Struthio camelus: one gene and its partner. The protein of the gene in region 1 interacts with the protein of each later gene in a pairwise test. Links are inferred from orthologs where the notes say so. Each region holds a gene or a part of one and is shown on either strand. Other genes may lie near its edges. The genes, in order: ANKRD40 and AHCY.

Region 1 (10,073 bases):
GACCTTCTCATTAGTAATATTCTACCAAAAAAAAAAAAAAAAAAAAACAGTAAAGTCCTCCCCACGCCCTAAAATGAAAATTAAGTGCTAAGATTCTGCATGCAAAGCAAATTAGGTCTTCTGGCACTGAAGCAGTACACCACTCTTATAGTAAATAGCTAATAGCATTAAATCCTATTTTAAATACCAAATTTACACATTGAGAAACTGCATCCCTACTAGGGCTATTGCTCACAGCCATTTGTCCATAACTCTTCTCCGTCTCTCCCCACTTTCTGAAAACACGGCATTTTTCTTGAAAGATACATCACAATCTCAAAACACTCCCCTAAGCACAAGAAAACCAAGCACTGATTACCCATGCTATGAGACAGTCTGGGAACTTTCTAACAATACATATGAACTTTTGCATTGAACTTTTTTTGAGGTGAACAGGTAGCATAATAAAGTAAAAATATATGAACCAATAAAGTTCTGAAGCTACTGTTCCAGAGACGTACTTTACCTACTGACATCGCAGTAAGCAGAAAGTAGATTAAAATATGCAAGATCTAATTAATATTTCCTGCTGCATACAAAAACCCTTTATGCCAAACCTAAAGCTGATCATCCAAGATATATCGCAAGACTGAAACATACAGCGACTGGGATTTCAATTTTTTATGATTATAAGCTTTACTCATGTCAAAATTCTAAGGTAAAAACTTAAGCTATACAACAGGCTTTACAATACATGATGATCATCACACTTTTCATTACAACTGCGAATAAACGCTCAGCTATCATACACGCTGCTTCCACAGCTTCACAAAAGCCTATTTCTGTTGTGCATTTCACACCATCTTCCACAGAAGTTGTGACATCTACCTAAATGTAATTTACAAATGATAAATAGAAATTATAACCTTCCACATCTAAAATTTATGAAATCTTGATAAAATCTTAAATTTTGGAATGAGAATACAACAGGCTCACATTGAAAAAGGCTTTGTGTTGATAACAGGTATAATTTCACAAGTAACAACACTTATGTACATGTTTAACCAGAAAAACAAAACAATAAACAGGCAAACTAATGTTGCTAGCTGAACCTTATCTGCATTTCCTGACTTCTAAAATAAGTCAGCATTACTAACAAAACCCTTATTAAACCGATGCACAAATTTAAGCTGAAAGTAAAATACATTTCTGTGTTTTAACACGGGAAAGGTTTTGTTCTGAACTAGCCCACTGACTATAGGGATTTATGATAACATCCCTTTCAGAAAGGTTGCATTTAATGATGCTCATATAAACTTCATTAAAAAAAAAGAAGCAAACTCGGAACGAACACAGCAACATTTCCTCTTAGGCTGAAGGATCAACTCTAAGCCCCTACTGGCCTCAACAAGGACAGGGACAGCTCTCCCCTTTCTAAATCATCAAGGGAGGACTGAGAAGAAGAAACAAGGCACTGTTTCTGAAACAACAAAACTGAACAGCATCTTAGAGATGGATTTCTATGGTTTTGAGTCACACATTTTAAAAGAGTTTATTTTTCAATTTTAGGCTAAGGATTAAGTCATCTTAACTTGATTAAAGAGAAGGAGGCAAAAAATTCTTTCTCATCTTCAGAAATAAAACGAGAAACCCCTTATCTCCTCTACCTGCACGGACATGCCCGAAGCCATTTACTTCCTATTTCCAGGGTTAACCAACTCCTTTCCTTTTAGAGCTCAGAAAATGTGTAACTGAACACCTATCTGAACAATCACACTTGATTAAGTCAGGAAAAAAAAAAAAAACATTATTTCATTAATAAAACTTCCTGAGCTCAATTTCTCCTGATGCGTATAGCTTACCTCTATAACAGCATTTTTCAAGGAGAATTAAAAATTGCTTGGATTTACAAAAGTCTAGCAAGACAGGTATTTGTCCTTACATGTTGTTTTTGAGACAAATTAAAACTTGGTTTAGCCAGCTCTAAAATAAAGTAACTCTTGTTTGAAAATGGGAAATTCCCAACTTGGTGATTCAGACACAACTTTAAAAAGCCAAAAGCAAACATTTCTCCTGCCTCCCAACTTAACAACATGAAAAAAATGCTAAGGGGGGAGGAACACCACACATTTAAACTAAATGCTTTCTGCAGCTTTAACCACAACAACTTCGACCACACAAAAGATAAGTGAACTGTCTTATCTGAACTGGGACTCTCTCTTTCTTTTAAAATACAGCACAGCACAAAAATACATCACGACAGGGGGAAGGGAGTAGAGGGAAGTGTTTCAGAGTTTTCAAGTCACCCAAAGGGGCAGCTATGGCAACTTTGTTATTACTACTGATTTTTTTGTGAAATAAGTTCTAATACCAACCACAATGGATGTCGCTAGAAGCTAATATCCACTAAGATTTAACCACACGTGGGGAGAAACCTCACTCCAAAATAATATAAGAAAATCCTCTTCTTTTTGAGCAGTTTAAAGCAGAAGATGGATGTTATCACCCCATTGACAAAAAATTCTCAAGTACTACAAAAATAACAGCAATACTGTTTAGGTTTAGCCCTCCCACCCGGAAGTGCAGTAGGTAAGCTTTGGGAAAGTACAGAAGCAATCAAGTTTTTTACTTTGAAAAATCTTCAGCTGCAAAAGTCTTCTGGATCGTCACTGCGCTACAACCTTCACAGTTAAGTTAGCATGAATGTATTCTTCCGTTTCCTCCAATACCACAGTTAGGAAGAGATCCAGAGAAAACTTGTCTTTCAAACCGCTAACACCTGTCTTATCTCCCCTCATGCAAGCCAGCAGGCTCCAAGAAATTCTTGCTTCTACTACAGCTTCCCACAGTTCCCCCCTCCCCCCCCGGGAGATTTCAGCCATCGGCAGGCCTCTCGGAAACCCTTACTACCATTTGTCGACGCGACAGGGAGCGCACGCCAAGGCGAACACAGCCTCTCCCCCTTACGCTGAAACCCAAACACAAGGCCTCTCTCCTCCCATCAGCCCTGATAACAACGCAAGCCCTCTCGCACAGCTAAGCCATGGCGGGATCCTCCTCCCTCCCGGCCACCCAGTTCCTCCTCCTCGTCGGGCAGGCTCAGCGAGCTTCCCGCGCAACGGCGCGGGCCTAGGCCGCCCCGCGGCCGCCATGCAGGAGCCCCGCGGCCTCGGGGCGGGAGCCTCGCACGACGGGCTCCACCGGCGCCTCGGCCCTCTCCTCTCGCTAAACCTCCGCGGATCCTCCCCCGCCGAGACCCCGGCGCCCCCTCGCTCCCCCTCCGCGGGCCCCCACCCGCGGTGCGTGTCGCGCCGACAAGACCCAGGCCCTCGGCCGGAGGGGGGGGGGGGGACCAGGGGAGGGAGGGGGAGAGGCGGCTCCGCTTCACTCACGCTCTCATGGTCCCACCGCACGTTGCTGCGCTTCTCATCCGGGGCCAGGTTTCTATCCCGGCCCATAAGCTCATCTAGGAGCTGGGCGGCCGATATCATGGTGTCTTCCTGGCCGAATACCTCCCCGCCGGGCTCCGCCGCTGCCGCCGCCTCTCCTCCCCGACTCGACCGCGCCGCCGCTGGAGTGACAGAGACAAAATGGCGGCGCCGCTCCTCGCCCTGCCCACAATGCACCGCGCGCCTGCTAACCGCCTCTGGGGCCTGGCGGGGGCCGCCGCCGCCTCGCGATGGCGGCGGGGACGGGCCGCGGCGGCGCTGCCCCGCGGTCGGCGGCTTCGCCGGGGGGGCGTCCCTCGCAGCCGGGACGTGGCCAGGCTGGGAGCCGGGGCCTTTCCTGAGGGCCCCGGGCACGGTATTCCCGCCGGGAGCGCCCCTCCGGCCGGCGGGGAGGGCACGGGGCCTCACAGCTGACCAAAACCTTCCTCGCCCCGGTACCGGTCGGTTATGTCTTGTCCCGTCATGGACGGAGACTAACTGATGAGCGTTCACTTTATTCAGTCATCTTGCAGATTTCAAGACGCGTGTCTCCTTAAATAAACCCAGTTCGTTTTAATTTTTTTCTCATGGGTCTTTGGTTTGGTTTTTTTTTTTTAAAACAACTCTTCTAATTTTTATTACCTGTTTTTGGGGTTCCCTCCCGTTCGTCTATAGCAGTCTGAAAGCGTGGATTTATTCCAGCTTCCCGGCTTGGTTACTGCACAAACGCAGGAAGGGTCTCCTCAGTTTTTTGCATTTTTTAATAGCTTTTTTTTTTAACGGTGCACCGATACGCAGTTTGTAGCCCCGTGTAATTTCTCTGGTATTAACGCCCAACCAGCTTCTGCTCATTTTTGGATGTATTTTTCTTTTTTTGCCTAGGTGTGGCTCTGGGCCTTGTCCTTACTGAATTTTACCTTACTGATTCTAAAGCATTTTCCAAGTCCTCAGAATCATTCTGACTGCCCAAAGTATGCCAAATTATTTAGTACCGCCAGACGAGGACAGTCCCCTTTCGTACCTCAGTTAATGCAATCCCTGCCAACTCCTCTCTTGAATATGCTTTTTTCGAATGCCTGCTAGTCGGTTTTGTAGAAATTTCTTTTGTACTGTCAGTCGTTAACTTGCTAATGAGAATATTAGTGCTGTGGACTATGGCCGAACATCTACCATTGGCACTCCTGCAGCTTTGCTCTTATCCTCTATACCAATTTTCCTGCCAAGTAAGAAAATTATAGTAGCTCAGTCTGCCTACCCTTGACAAATCCATTTTTTTCCCCTATAACTATTATCCTCTACCTGCTTATAGATCATTTAGTCATTCATTCCCAGCATTTTTCCACATGTAAAAATTATGAACCGTGACCATACTGATACTCCTGAAGCGTAGCGAAACGGACCTAACAAGGACTGGGTTTTTAATCAAGTTTTTAATCAGAGATATTCCCCTCTATTCACAGTATAAGAGAAACATCTATGTTTCTCTCCCTTACTTTGTCATTTCCTGTTGGGCTCATTTTAGAACCAATATCATGCTGCTTTATCTTGTAATAAAAAGAGGGTTCTAGTGGCCTGGGAAGGGCTTGGCCACGGGTGAGCGCGCTCACGCTGGGCATCTTGGTGCTTTCAGAGGTTTGGTATAGTTTCGCAGATAATGGACGTTTTCAGGTACCCGAAAAATCTAGTACGTTAACATTTTGTGTTTGTTTGGATTTAAATTTCCTCTGTGCTACTAGTCTATATTTCCATCATTTATACTGGAAGAAGTAAAAAAGACAAGGAATAATTAAGTAGTATGAATGTTAGTTTAAAAATCTTGAACTTGGTTGCTTTTTTTTTTTTTTTAAGAGTTTGAAGTCTGTATTAGCGCTGACCTTGTAAAAAAACACAGAATTCATGGCTGGTCTTGCTCAGACCTCTGCTGCAATCACTGAAGGCTTCACGCAAACTCACGGGTTGTCCATAGAGTTTCTGTTCAGAACTCTGTCCATAAAACTTCCATATCCAGCACTGTAAGGCACTACATTTTTTTTTTTTAATCTTTGCAATTTCATAGTGATTTAATTACCCATTTGAATTGTTGTAAGTAAGAGTGTAGCTGAAATCAGTGCGACCCCACTTACACGTATCTTAAATCTTAAAAATTCTACAGTTTGGGGTTTTGAGGGGGATGGAAGGTGGATGTTTGCTTTAGAAAAGGGGGCCAGAGTTGTTCTGCGTTTCGGCTTTATATTGCTCCCATAGCATCAAAACACCAGCCAGGTACCCTGGCTGCTGAACTGGGATCAGCCTAACCATTGCAAATTTCCCCAGAGTGCGCTCCTAGAGCATACTAGACTAGAAATGGTGTAGTTTCGTTAGATGTCTGGCTGGAGACAGAAATGATTCTTTTGAGTTTTTATAATTGTGAAATTTTTACTAGCTCTTCGCTCTTCCGTAACTTAGCTTAGGACAAATCAACAGTGATCAAAATCAACTTTTTAAAGCAAATACGGTGAATTACAGGAACTGCCTGTAATCTTTGCAAATGCTTTGCAGGTAGCCTTGGAGTTATTAAGGGCTTAATTAATTGCAACGCGAATTCTCAGCGATGATGAGAATTTCCTAGACAGAGCAGTCGTGCGATTCTGGAGCCTGTAAGCACAAGCAACAGAGCAGGAGATGCTGTGCGTTATACAGCTGCCTGTACATTAAATAATAGTTTGGTACTTTAAAATTGCCACGTACCCGTATGTGGCTAATAAATCATCCCGACTGTAAAATCGCAGCAGCCATGACTCGCACGCAAGGCTGTTCGTAGGAACTAAATATCTAGGTCAGAGTTGTCACAGATAATAGAGTCCCCCTGGAAGAGTTTAGGAAAGGGGGATGCTCCGGACACCCTGCAAGCGTGTTTGTTATAATGTCCTTTGGCAGTAGGTCCCTGGGCTTGATTTAAGGCTAGCACACAGAAAGTCACTCTGCATCCAAATTTAAAACCGACAAAGGGCACGAGACACTTTGTGCTTGCGGAGCTGCCCGGTCTGCGAGGTTGGCAGCATGAGAGATCGCCCCGGTTAGAGCGCTCCTCCACCAGACCCGCGTCTGGTCCGAGGCTCCAGCAAGATGACAGCCCTGGTAGAGGAGAAGGAGCTGCAGGAGAGACTGAGAGAGGCGGCGGCGCTGGGGGACGCGGAGGAAGTTCAGCGGCTGGTGGAACTGGGGGTGAACCTGAACTCCCAGAATGACATCAACGGCTGGTAAGGCTGCCGAGCGGGAGCCGGAGCGGGTCGTCTCCAGGACGAGTGGAACCGAGGGCTCCTGAGGCTGTAGAGATGAGTTTGTTTACCCTTTTTGTTTTGTTTTTGACTAGGCATACGCTACTGCGGATTTTTTTCTCTTTCAGCTGAAATACGCGCATCATGACCGGTGTGAATTTGGGATGAAATTAAAAATGTGCTTCTTCAACGCCTTGCCAAATGCTCTTCCCTATAGCTACCTCTCACTACGCCAAAAAGGAAAAAAAATACTGCTGGAGCTGATAATTGCTTTATAAATTTGCACTCTCGTCCCACCCGCTATTTTTGTTCCTTTGGTGTTTGATCCTTCTTCAGGTCGTTGTTACTTTATATTGTTTATTTTTTTGGAAAGGGAATGCTGGCAGCCTAAGACAGCACCGTAACATAGCTATCAAAAAATAAACCTCAGCTTGCCAAGATATATTAATTTATAACCGGACTTAATTCGTGCTAACTTCCAAATCAGGCTCTAAAGTGACTGCACTTTCATCAGCAAACTTGCAGGCTGTTTCGGTGATGTCCCTAAAATACTTTTAGTTCTGACATCTCATTCAAATACCACCTAGTGACACTAAAACGAAGTCCTTTTGGTAATAATACGCGTTTGTGCAGGCGGGACTATATACGTGAATGAACACGCACACGGTACCATTTGAAGCGGGAGCTGCAGGGAACGCTCAGGCGTTTTTGAAGGCTGTTTTCCTCAAGTTGAATTCAGTGTGTATTTACCATGCTGTACTGCGCTTGAGGTTTTAATTAAAAATAGGAAGAACAAAATTAGGAAAGAAGCTGCTATTCTAAAGATTAGAGCGCCAGTAGTAGTCGTCAGCAGCATGGAACGCTTGCAACTTGCGGTTCAAATTGTGATTAAAATCAGAGCTTGTAATAACTTCTGCAAAGTGATTCCTAAGAGCATAAATTATATTCATGTGCAAGAGAAGTAGTTGCTGGCCATCCAAATGAGTTTCTATCTAAAACTGGCATTGATGGAAGAAACAATAAATTAAAAAAAAAAAAAAGAATTATTTTCAGAAATAACGATCTGGTCATTTTTGACTATGACAGTAAATGGATCTTCACTGTTATTTAGGTTTGCTTGTAGAATTTAAATCGCTGGAATGACCTTTTCCATGAGTCTGATGCTCGGGGGTGCTGGATACGTGCGTTTTGGTGTGTGTTGGATCTGGGGGGGTAGCTGGTACCTCTCCGCATGAGACCTTGCTAAAGCCACGTGCGATGGTCAGAACGAATTCCAAAATGAGGCAGCGCCGCTGAGGCTCGCGTATCTTCTGAGCAAACTAAACCCTCGAGTTTTACACGCGTGCAGGGTCCCGCTGAAGTCTCTGGCGTTCAGTATAGAGGAAATAGTGTGTAATTCTCAATGGAGCATCCTCGTTTAAGCAGGGAAAGCAAACATCCCCGCGCTGCCTGCGTGTTCTCTCGCTGCTTTGGTCTAAACTAGCTACGACTTGGCAGTGCGCTGCTTCTGAATCCATGCAAACTATTCACACGCGAAACAAGGAGAGATTTGTGAAAAGTCCAAAAAGCATGACACAGCAAAACTAAACAAACTCGGTCCGAGTTTCAGGAAGCTTGTCTCAGATACTGAGGGATCTTTGGTGTCAAAAATTCAGGACTACGTTCTGCTGACAAAATTATGTTATGCCATTTTAAAAATGGCACTTTTTGGCTGAAATGCACAGCCCAATCGTGGAGCGAAAATACAGGATTTTACAGTATTATTAGCTGTATCCCCCCTTTAAAACATAAAATTTATAACCCATGTCCTATGATAGGCTATAAAGAAAAAATATATATGCATACATACACTTACCATGTTTCTTCAGTCAGATCTAATTCTAGGCAATGTTGCTTGCTGCAGTGACTAGTCCCATTACCTTTAATTCAGAGAGACTTTCTGCCATCGAGACGCATTAATTCTAGTAATAAGAAATGTAGAATGATGCCTTTTGCTTCTGCTAAGATGGGTTTAATTAAGTTGGAACATATACCAATGAACAGGGCTTTACAAATTACTTTGTCTTCTCTTGGTTTAACCTAATTTGTACCCCTACAGATCAGATTCTTTCTTTTCTCCTTTACGCCCATACAAAGTTGGGAGTTACTGATCAAGAGACAGCTTTGTTGTGTGACGACTGCGTCTCTTCCTTACCCCCCCAAAAAAAAAGCTTTTGAAGCTGGACTTTCAATTGAAACTTTTTTATCCTTATAAGTTTGTTTTCTAATCTCTGTTTTATTTTATTTAGTCCTTTAAAAAACTGAAGAAAGATAAAAGAGTTTTAATTTATCCAAAGACTTTTCCTTGGCTGGAGCTAGAGTATTAAAGTAAGAGCTAGAGAAAGCTCAAACACCGCTAGACCCCCAGATAGGGAGGAACGGTAAGGCTGTACAACAAGTTTTAATATAGAAGACTATTAAGTCCTTAATACTAATACTAAGCACTAAATAAGCTAAGTAGCGTTGAGGATGTTTCTTTACTATGTCTTTCCAGGTCAGTGACTGCCAATAATAATTAAAAAAACCAGAAAAGCGATCAGTTCAGTGCATCAGTTACAGGTTGCCAACCACAAGCTCACTGCAGAGCGCTAGTTGTCTGCAGCATAAAGCTTGGAGTCTGCTGGTGCGGTGAATAGCAACTAGGCAAAGAACTAGAATATTTTCCAAGTAATTTACTTTCAGAAAGGTGCACATCGCCGTACTGACTGCATTGATTAAAGTGGAAAAAAAAAAGCACCCTCGAGAAGCTGCATGTTAGCTCACATACACACAAAAGTATTTGAAGAATAACTTATTCTTTCAAAGATTAAACAAATAAATAAGCCTTCTTTTTATATTTATTTTCAATAAAAGTTAATAGCCTCATACATGAAAACCTAAAAAGATCTTGAAAACTATTGCTATAGTAACTTGATATCAAGAGCATTATCGCGAGGGAAAAAAACCAGATCAGCAGGTGTCACTGCAGGCTCCAGAAACGGTGTGAATCTGCAAGGACCGTAGCTATTAAAAGCTTTTTTTATGCTAGACATGCATTGGGTCTTGTGCTTCCTATATGCAGCAGGAATGCATGAAACGTATGTGCTGTAATCGAGTATTTCAAAGAGCGTTGCCGTTTTCCGTGTGCAGGACTTGTTTGCACTGGGCGTGTAAAAGGAACCACGCGCAAGTGGTGTCCTACCTGCTGCGATCCGGGGCCGACAAGGAGATTCGCACAAGGAAAGGAGAACGGCCCGTCCAGTTGACTTCCAGGAGGGAGATTCGGAAGATGCTGGGAGGTAAAGCTACTGGTTATATCATATACCATCTCTGAAGACGACAGTAAAAGGCTGTTGAGAGCAATTACGCTCCTGGGTTATTTTACGTGTGA
Region 2 (9,545 bases), on another chromosome or scaffold:
CATGCTTGCTACAACGGTGAGAGAGAGGTGAAGATGACGTTTCACTGACTTACCACCAACCCAGAGCCTCAGGGCTGTCAGGGACTGAACCAACTTCTTGTGTAACTTAGGCTGGCCACAGGGTTTCTCTAAGAAACAAAAATCGGTTGTTTTCCTCTTGCTGGCAGCATAGGGAAAATAAGAAGCAAGAGGAAAAATTAGTCCAAACTTCCCCTCACACTAGTTCATTTATTCTCGTCTAGCTCTTGTTTCAGTTCTTGCTTGCACTGAGTGTACAGACTACATGTTCTCAAGTAAATAATTTCTAGCGTTCTTGCGACAAAAACATAGCCTACTTTAAATCCTTGGACCACCCATACTCCTCCCAGAAGGCACCAGCTTGGTCATACTAAACTCTTACCTAAAACGTTGACAGTCCTCACTCATAAGGAAGATACATCGAAGGCTCTCTCTGCTCTCTGTTGGGGAGTTAATGACGGAAAGTGGATGGCACTGTATACACAAAATCAGAACTTAGTAAAGTGCAGAAGTCTTTATCAGGGACCTATGAGGAGAAAATCAGCTGTATTGAATCTGGAATGTGTTGAACTTAACATCAGTGGGACAAATCGTATTATCATAATAATGTTAGTGCTAGTTGCAGTGATATACACGCTTCTGTGGATTGAGATAGTGTAACTCAAAGTTGAACTAGAAACCCGCTGTTATCTATATGGCTGCACAGGATGATAGCGAATGTGAAACCACATGAAGGACTTTATGCAAACACATACGGCAACATGTCTCAGATTTTATGCTTGAGGCAGGTGGGGAGAGCTTACTCGCAGCCTGAGCTGTAATACACGTTTGTGAGTATTATAAGTGTATGCATATGCTATCTATGCCTTATGTTAAAAGCTAATTTAAGCATGAACAACAACGGCTCTAGACCACATGGGACCCCTACTAAGCTAAATTAGCAGTATGAGTTAGCCAGCATGCATCTAAGAAGGCTGCTACAACCTTCAGCTGCTGGCTGGGGCCTTCACAAACCTGCTGTTGGCTCTGGCTAAGAGAACATAAAGCCTACAGAGCAAAGCACTTAGTAGATGCCCGTCACCGTCAGGGCCTTCATTAGGCACCTTGTGACATTTACCGCAATACAGTCTACCTGGATCATCAGACAGTGTCTCTGCCTTATTGCACAGAATGGCTCATGCTTGGGGAAATGGTAGTTACCCAGCACCTACTTTATATGCATCACTCAGTACGATGGTTCTTCTTTACTGCTTTTCATCAAACCCTTATGCAGGATAAAACAACATTCGTTTCCTTAGGGGTGCTCCTGGATGCTACCACCACAACATCTTAGTGCTTCATAGACAGAAATGAACTTATTTTTGCAGTACGTGTGTGTGAGTTTGTGGGTGAGCAGAATGATTTTCTCATTTTATAGGTAAGGGAAAGCTGAGGTACAGAATATAACATCAAATGTTCTCACTGCTTGTGGGTACCACTTTGAGACATATAGGGTTTGATTTGTGAGAGTATTTAGCATTGTGCAGCATTTTCTAAGCTCAGTGATGTACTCTGGACTTCAGCCCGCTTTGCCTGGCAGAACGTTGACTAAGGAACAGGAAAGAGCATAGCCTGCTCCTCGTAGGCTCCGGGATGCCTGTAGCTTGGGTGCATTGTGTCCAGCAACCTGATCTTAAGGACAGCCTGACCTTGGGCATCCCACATACCACCTCTGCCACAAGGTCCACAAGGTCTGCAGTGGTGAGAGATTGTGTGACTTGTTATCGGCCACCTGACGTCATGGGGAGGGGTGACAGGCTACATGGTAGCTGGTGTGGGTTAGATGCTGTGGGCTGATCTGCAGATACCACTAAGTGTGAGCCACGCTTTCTCCCCTTGCTGCCTCTCAAGCTTATGTAAAACCTGTGAAAGCCGGAGTCAGGTCATGGCTTGAGCCTATGTGCCAAATAAAATGTGGTGTGAGGTTTTTTTAAGGCAGGTGTCTGGAAAATGAGGAATAGTCAATTAACGATTGCTCATGCAAAGCCTGTCCTAAGAGACTGAGCCAGTGCCACAAAGGGGTGGCTGGGCTGAGATTGGGGTAGAATGCAGTTCTCCATACTCCCCCAGCACTCCTTAATCATATATGATACACATCTTCTATCTGCTGTGACAAATTGAAGTCCTACAGACAACAGCCTCATTTACTGTATGCTTCTAATTCATACTCAACACTGGCCATCCCAGTGCACTACCAGATGAGAATCTTGTTGAACAAATAATGGCATTCTCTTTATAAAAGAAGCTCTCGGATTGCATAATATGCTTATTATAATGTATATAACGTATAATTTGCCCTAGTCAAGCAATTAACTGTCTGAGTATAGCGTACCTGCATGAAATACCACCTGTATTATACAGAAGTTTAGACTGATGTTTTCTCCTGCTCTTGAAATCGACAGTATTTCCTAACCAAGCCTTTTGAGCCGAATCTTTTCTTAAAATTCTGCAAAATGTCATAACGTCATTATGAAGGAAAAGGTTTTTTTCCCTGAGTTTCACAGCTTTCCAGTGACCCTAGGATATTTAAATTTACAGCCCAGAACTTCCCTATTTGAATTACTACAGTAAATGAAACAGTAGCAGGATGTATAACATGAAAAACATCCTGCTATTGTTTCGTGTACCCTGCTACAGATTGCTTTTTGGACTCTTCTGTTCTTTCCCCTGTTCCCTCTGCTTCACTCCATCCTACTCCCTGCCATTTCGTACCTATCTTGTGCCATCTGGTGTCCCAAATCCACCAGTGACAGTAACAATGAGGGGATCCAGGGTGTACATGAATAGTTGAGGCACTGACTTTCTAAATTAAGATATAGCATAAAGCAATGATATCAGGTCTTTATCTTTTCTCTCTTTTATCTCTACCTTTATCTCTTAAATCAAAGGCTCAGGGCAAACACGGCAGCTAACTTCACTTGTCTTCAAGTACTCTTTATGCAGAGTTATAAACAACTGGAAATATTTTGTCAAGTGATGGAGCATCTTCATTCTAGGTGGGGCTGATCTGTCCTCATTTAATAAATGCATATCAATTCTGACTACCCACTCTTTGGCTTATCTGCAATCAGGTGGCTGGTTCCTTTCAGCCTTCACAGGAAAGTATGTCTTGAGCTGAAATTAGTAGGAGTTACATGAAATGATGTCTTTGTCCTGGCCTTGCTGATTAATTTAAGAAGGATATTTTATGTGTCGGCGTTGCTGTGGGAAAGTACATAAAGACATTTGCTATAACCGACCAACCGACAATCAGGTTTGCTGGGGAGGCTGTGGGCTGGCATCTTATACAAGGCATGCGTGGAGTGTTTTGCTGCCTTTAGGGCACACGGTACAAAATAGGTCTGTTGGGAAGTCCCTCATTTACATGCCTGCAGAGGCTGGCAGGCAGAGACATGCAGAAGCTGCATCCTGCTAGTAGATACAGCCTTGGTGTAGGTATCTGGGCAGTGCGTGGGGAACTACCAGAACCTAAACTGCTGTCCCACTGATGCGAGCCAGTGTACTGGAGCTGTGACAAAGGGTTGTTAGTAACATACACAAACAAATGAGCTCCCTACTGCTGTCTTCTCTGGAAAGAGCGAGGCATGACAGAATTAGGTGAACCTGTCCCAGAGGAACTGGCCTGTTAGTCCCCTGGGGGACCTTCTGACTTACATAACTGCTTAGCATGGCATCGGATGTGATCGTATGCCCTGCTAGCGCTCAGAACATCAAACATGAATATTAGCACTTGCACATATACCGGCTATATAACTACAGGTTTCCCGCTGGGACTTCTGCATCTCCATTTGAACTGCTCTCTGTGGGACCAGTCACAGAAGATAAATTGTTACTCAGGTAACAAATACTGAACCTCAGAAATAGGGAGCAGAGACAAACTCTGCGCTGATCCACTCAGAGGATTATTTCAAACTTTGCAAAATAATTAAGTGAGAATTACTGAGAAAGCATGAGGAAATCCTCATCTGCTTGTAAATATTACACAGAAAAAGAAGAGGTGAACCTATTATGTAACATACCGGCTGCAAAATTCGCCCCAGTTTATGACTGAGACTTGTCAGAAACGTGCTTCACGTGTTAGAGCAGGAGTAAGAGCAAAGCCAACGTATGTGTGACCCTTAGACGAGGCTGAGAAAGGACCTTGCCTCCTGCCAGCGCAGCGTGCATGGGTTACTGCCGTGGGCAGAGCTGTGCCGTGGCGGCCAACAGGCCTGCCTGATCTCTTATCTTCCTGCGCCTGGCGAACTGGCTCGTTCGCTGGACGCTGGAAACAAGGACGTGCTTCAGCCAAGTCCAAGGTTCAGGCAGAAGAGTGACTCAGTGCCTGCAGCGGCGTGCCTCGGCACCAGCAGCGTACCGTTTCACTACTGCAGCATCGCGGGCAGAGGCCTGCGGAAGAGGCTGCCCCGCGAGAAGCCTGTCGCAGCAGAGCAGGCCGGGCTGTGCTGCCTGGCCAGAGCCCGCAGCGGCTCCACGACCCTGCTCTGGTGCCCGGGGGCCTTCTCTGCTACTGGGAGGCTCCGAGGCCTGCCCAGGTGCTGCCAGAGGGCCTGCGCCGGCGGGGGGACTCTGAGGGTTGCCCTGGCACTGCTGTGGGGTCTGCTCTGCTGCTGGGGGGGCCCCAAGGCCTGCCTTGGGCATGGCCTGGCACCAGGGGCCCCAAGGCTTGCCCTGGCACTGCCCTGGGCTCTGCTCTGGTTCTGGGGGGTCCAAGGCCTGCCCTGCGGCCTGCTCTGGTACCGGGGGGCTCAGCGGCCTGCCCTGACGCCTGCTCTGGTACCAGGGGGCTCCAGCACCTGCCCTGGCGCTGGGGGGATCCAAGGCCTGTCCTGGGCTCTGCTTTGCTACGGGGGGGCTCCAAGGCCTGTGCTGGCACTGCCCTGCGGCCAGTTCCGGTACTGGTGAGCTCTGGCACGGCCCTGGCCCTGCTGTGCTACCAGGGGGCATCACGGCCTGCCCTGGAGCCTGCTCTGGCTCTGGGGCCCTCCAAGACCGGCTCTGGCACAGCCGGGGAGGGCCCTGGGCCCGTCCCGGGCGCCGCAGCCTGCCCGTGGGTCTGGGGCGCGCTCTGGCTCCAGGGAGAGAGGGAGCGTCCGCGGCTGCAGTGGGACCGGGGGGGGCGGGAGGCCTCTGGGCATCGTCCTGGCCGCGAGGGGAGGGGCGGTGGGGGCAGCCAGGCCGCCCTGGTGCAGGCTGGGCCGCCGCCGCCGCCGCCGCCGCCGCCGCCGCCGCCGCCGCCGCCGCCGCCGCCGCCGCCGCCGCCGCCGCCGCCGCCGCCGCCGCCGCCGCCGCCGCCGCCGCGCACCCGGGCCGACCCGCCCCGGCTGCGCCTCGCAGTGCTCTGGAGGCGGCGCGGCGCGGCTCGGCCCCCGCCGCCGGGCCCCGAGCGCGCACGTGGCGGCGCGGCGCGTCCGCGGCCCCGGCCCCGGCCCCGGCCCGCCCCACGACGGCGGCGGCGCCGCCCCTACTTAAAGCGCGCTCGGCGCCGCTGCCGCCTCCTGTTCTGCGCCCGCCGCGGCCCGCGCTGCCCGCCGGCATGTCGGACAAGCTGCCCTACAAAGTGGGTGAGTGCGGGTCCGGCGGCCGCCGCGGTGCCGCGCCGGGGAAGGCGCGCCGCCCCGGGCCCGGCCTGCCGCGGCCCTGGGAGCCACGGGCCGCGGCGGCGGCGGGAAGATGGCAGCTGCCGCGCGGGGAGCGGCGGCAGGCGGAGCGCGGTCCCCAGCACGAAAGCCTTAAAAACAAACCTCCAAGGCGCGGGAAGGGGCTGGCCGAGCCTTCGTGTTACCTCAGCCCCGGCGGAGAAGGAGTCGGGGAGCACCGGGGCGGGGCGGGCTCTGGGGAGCGGCTGCCGCCCTGTGCGGAGCGGCCGGAGGCGGCGGCGCGGGCTGCCGCCGAGCCCAGCAGGAGCCCTCCCCTGGGGGCGCAGGCCCCCTGCAAGCGCGACAGTGCCCTTAAATCGGGGAGCTGCCTTACGTGCCTCCCTGCGGATTGCGGTGTTTCTCTGAATAGAGACCTTCCCCAAAAAACTGTTCTCCCCCTCCCCCCCCGAGTTGTGGCTTCTGTGAAGGCTGAATGCAACGGCAGGAACTTTGGGCCGTAAGGTTCAAATACACCGAGAATTCGCCTTTGAGGAAAGAGCGTGGGCGGTGAACCCAAAACGGTCTAGAGCTTTTTTTTTTGGGAGCCCTAGTAAAACTGCTGAGACCTGAAAAGGGATTGGGATTTAGCGAACCCCTCTCTTGTCATTATGATTCCTACAGCCCTTCCATTTCCTGTGCTTTTTTTTGTGTCCTGCATTGGTGCGAAGGTCACGCACCAGTCAGCTAAAAAGTAGCCAATGGCTCTGGTGGCCCCCAGGCTTCCTTCTGGAACCAAACACAGTTATCTTGCCTGTGTTAAACCAGGCAGTCCGACTCAGGCGGCCTAGTTTTCCTTAACGCTTTGAATGGACGGTGTCCGCTAGGTAGCTGAAAGCAAATTGTCTGACCGTGTTCTTAATCAAACCGGGAAGGCCCCAAAAAGCTTCTCCGAATGAGGTGACGAAGGACCGGTGACACTCGGCGTTGGCTGGCGCCGCAGAATGGCGCAGCCAGGCATCAGCCGCTCAGCCTGTTGCCTTTGTAGGTAAGGCTGGGCGTGCAGATCCGCTGTGAGAGCTGGGTTTTCTGCCCCTAGCTAGACTCTTGGAAATCTCTTTTACTCAGTTTCTGGTGAACTTTCCCGCTGCAGACCTTTTTTCACAAGGTTAGGGATAGAGTTTTCCAGGTGCCTGGAAAATTATCCCTGTGGAGCAAAGGGTCCAGGAGCACTGGAGCTTACTGCTTGACGGGGAAGGAGGAGGGGGAGCTGGACTGGGCTCAGCACCTGGAGCCCTTGGTGGGGAAGCCGTTGCCGAACAGGTAGCCTCTGCCCCTGCAAGTCATAGTACTGTGGAAGCAAACTTCAATAAGAAGCGTCAGATGTTTGGGCAGCGTTTGTAAGGAGGGGTGGTTAAGGCTAGGGGCCTACTGAATTACCGAGCCTCAGGGCCTCTGAACATCCAGTCATGTTGTGGTTTACGCTAGCTTGAAAGCCTGTGTACCAAAGTACAAAGGCAGTACTCGGGGAGAAACAGGGATGGGGTCTGTTTTTCCTTCAACTGTCTCCCAGCTGTTGGGTGTCCAGTTCAGCTGTTGCAGCCAGTGCTATGTGCAAGTGTGTGAGTAGATACCAAGGCCTCAGCTATTTGAACTCCAACACCTGCCCTCCTTTGCTTGCAGCTGACATCGGCCTTGCAGACTGGGGTCGCAAGGCCATTGAGATTGCAGAGAATGAGATGCCAGGGCTGATGAAGATGCGGGAGATGTATGCTGCATCGAAGCCACTGAAAGGTGCACGTATCGCAGGATGCCTTCATATGACTGTGCAGACGGCAGTTCTCATAGAGACCCTTATAGAGCTGGGAGCTGAGGTAAAGTATCTGTAGTTTTTCCTTCGGTGTGCTCTTAGGTAATGCTCTGCCTAGGGCACTGCTTCTGTTTATGTAACTACCCTAGGGGATCCTGGCAGGTTTCTGTGCTTATGAGAAGAGACCACGCTGCGGTCTCCAGGTGGACGTCTTCAGCAAAAGGCTTGTCGCCTGGAATGCACGTGCCTTTGGGGTGCAGACAAGCTGCATCTTCCTGACGCCCCTTCCAAGGTGGGGTTGGTGGCTTCAGCACCCTCCTCTGGCCTGTAAGCAGCTGTCTATACAGCACCCTGAGGAGCTGTGCCAAAACCTGCTCCCGCACAGTTGTGCTGTGTTCAGGCACGCGCTGCTGTGGCTGGTATGCTGGTAATGCTGAATGTGTAGGGACTGCCTGCAGCGCAGATTAACCTGGATTAAGAACCATACCATGGCCTGGTAAAGTCAGCAAAAACTAATGGAGCCATCTGAGCTCCTGCTGGCCCTTGAGCTATGCAGGAAAACAACAGGGAGACAGTGTGGCTCAGTGATCAGGAGCTCGGGACTCCACTGACTCCAAATTCACTGTGCGACTTTGGACCAGTTACCTCGGTCTGTATTCAAGGCTGAGACGCTTATAAGCCATCTACTGCATCATGCCCTCTGCCTGGCTTGCAGAATGAAGTCCCAATGTAATACAGGGCATGAGGGGAAAGCTAGGCTTCTTAGCACAGTCCAAATAGCTTGCCTGCTGAGCAGGGAGCAGACTGGAGCTTGATGATGGATTATGCTAAGCAGAGTGTTTCATCTGAAATCCTTTCTTCCTGAAGTTTAGCTGCCTGGACCTAGGCTGCCCAGAGGTGTATCTGCCTGTGTGCAATCTAGAGCCTGGATCCCTCCCTCCTGAGAGCGCGTGCCGACGTGGTTAAGCCTTGAGCAGTGTCACACTGATCAAAAGGCCTTGGAAGAAGGGGAAGCCCTTTTCTGTAACAGCCTAAAGGTTAAAGCGTTTCCTCAAAAAGTGTGGGATTGGTCTGGATACTTGTAGGCTACGTGCTGTTCTGCATGGAGGTGTTCTTCAGCCTGTTACTGTTCTGCTGTAGTAAATAGTGCAGTACTAAAGGAGGCTAGAAGAAGAAGAAGGAGCTTTGACCTGGAGGTCTTGATCCTAACTGCTCGGTATAGGAAACTTATTCCCTCACAGAATTTAAGTGAGGAGTAGCCACTGAATTTGCTCCTTGCTGCTCTTGTTAGTTGCTGTCTCCCAGCGTGGCTGGCCTAGGCAGCAGCTGGGTGCTTAAACATTGCCAGCTGCTTTAACCTGAGAGCAATGCCACACCAATGTCACCTGGGGTTCATCCAAGTTATTAGGGGAGGTACCTGCAGTGTTTTGGTTCCTCTAAGGATAAGTTAGGGTTGCTTGTCCAAGATGTGTGCTGCCATGTTAGCTTGGGACTTGATTGAGCTCCCATCTTGTCCTGATGCCTACAGGATGGTTTAGACTTCCATTTGGATTGAGCCCTGGTTCATCTGTTGTGCCAGAACTTCAGTGCCTGGGAGGGAGGAGATAAGAAAGAGGATGTAGCTCACTGTGCAGCACAGTGAACTTGTCATCCCTTTTTTGGCTGGCATAACAAGGATGGTATAAACACTCTGTGCCTCGGGTTCACGTGAGTTCTAAAAGGGTAGTAGAAATGTATCCTTTTCATAACCAGGGAGCTATAAGGGTACAAATGTTAGTATCTGAGCCTATCAGGTATGACAGTTGTTCTTGGGTCTGTGTCTTTTTCACAAGCTGGTGTTACAAATCTAAGGATGCAGAATTGAAAAGTAGCTTGTATCTTGCTTCAAGTGTAAACAATATATAAGTTTTCAGTATACCTGGAATTTCATGACACCTGATGGCATCTGTATTGACGTGGGAGCTCAGAAAAATGCAAGTGAGGAGGTAGAGGGCTCAACTTTATGAATTCACTTTTCCTGTACTCCTTCCAGATATGTTTTCAGTAACAAACACTGGTTGTGTAGGCCCAAATGGGGAACTACAGAACTTATTACTGTAGCC

What was found.
Region 2: the proteins of ANKRD40 (region 1) and AHCY interact in binary tests that used the Homo sapiens proteins (3 or more experiments, as listed by UniProt). The two-hybrid records come from large-scale screens. The link is inferred for Struthio camelus from reciprocal best matches to the Homo sapiens genes ANKRD40 and AHCY.

Annotation. Positions count from the first base shown.
Region 1 is NC_090960.1:7,424,129-7,434,201, forward strand, and holds the start of ANKRD40 (ankyrin repeat domain-containing protein 40), read left to right. Parts: upstream 1-6,174; 5' UTR 6,175-6,512; coding exon 6,513-6,646; intron 6,647-9,832; coding exon 9,833-9,981; intron 9,982-10,073. Other genes in the region: LUC7L3 (luc7-like protein 3), read right to left, coding at 3,372-3,470.
Region 2 is NC_090959.1:3,731,931-3,741,475, reverse strand, and holds the start of AHCY (adenosylhomocysteinase), read left to right. Parts: upstream 1-5,484; 5' UTR 5,485-5,593; coding exon 5,594-5,621; intron 5,622-5,801; exon of another isoform or gene 5,802-5,967; intron 5,968-7,316; coding exon 7,317-7,507; intron 7,508-9,545. UniProt on the Homo sapiens protein: Catalyzes the hydrolysis of S-adenosyl-L-homocysteine to form adenosine and homocysteine. Binds copper ions.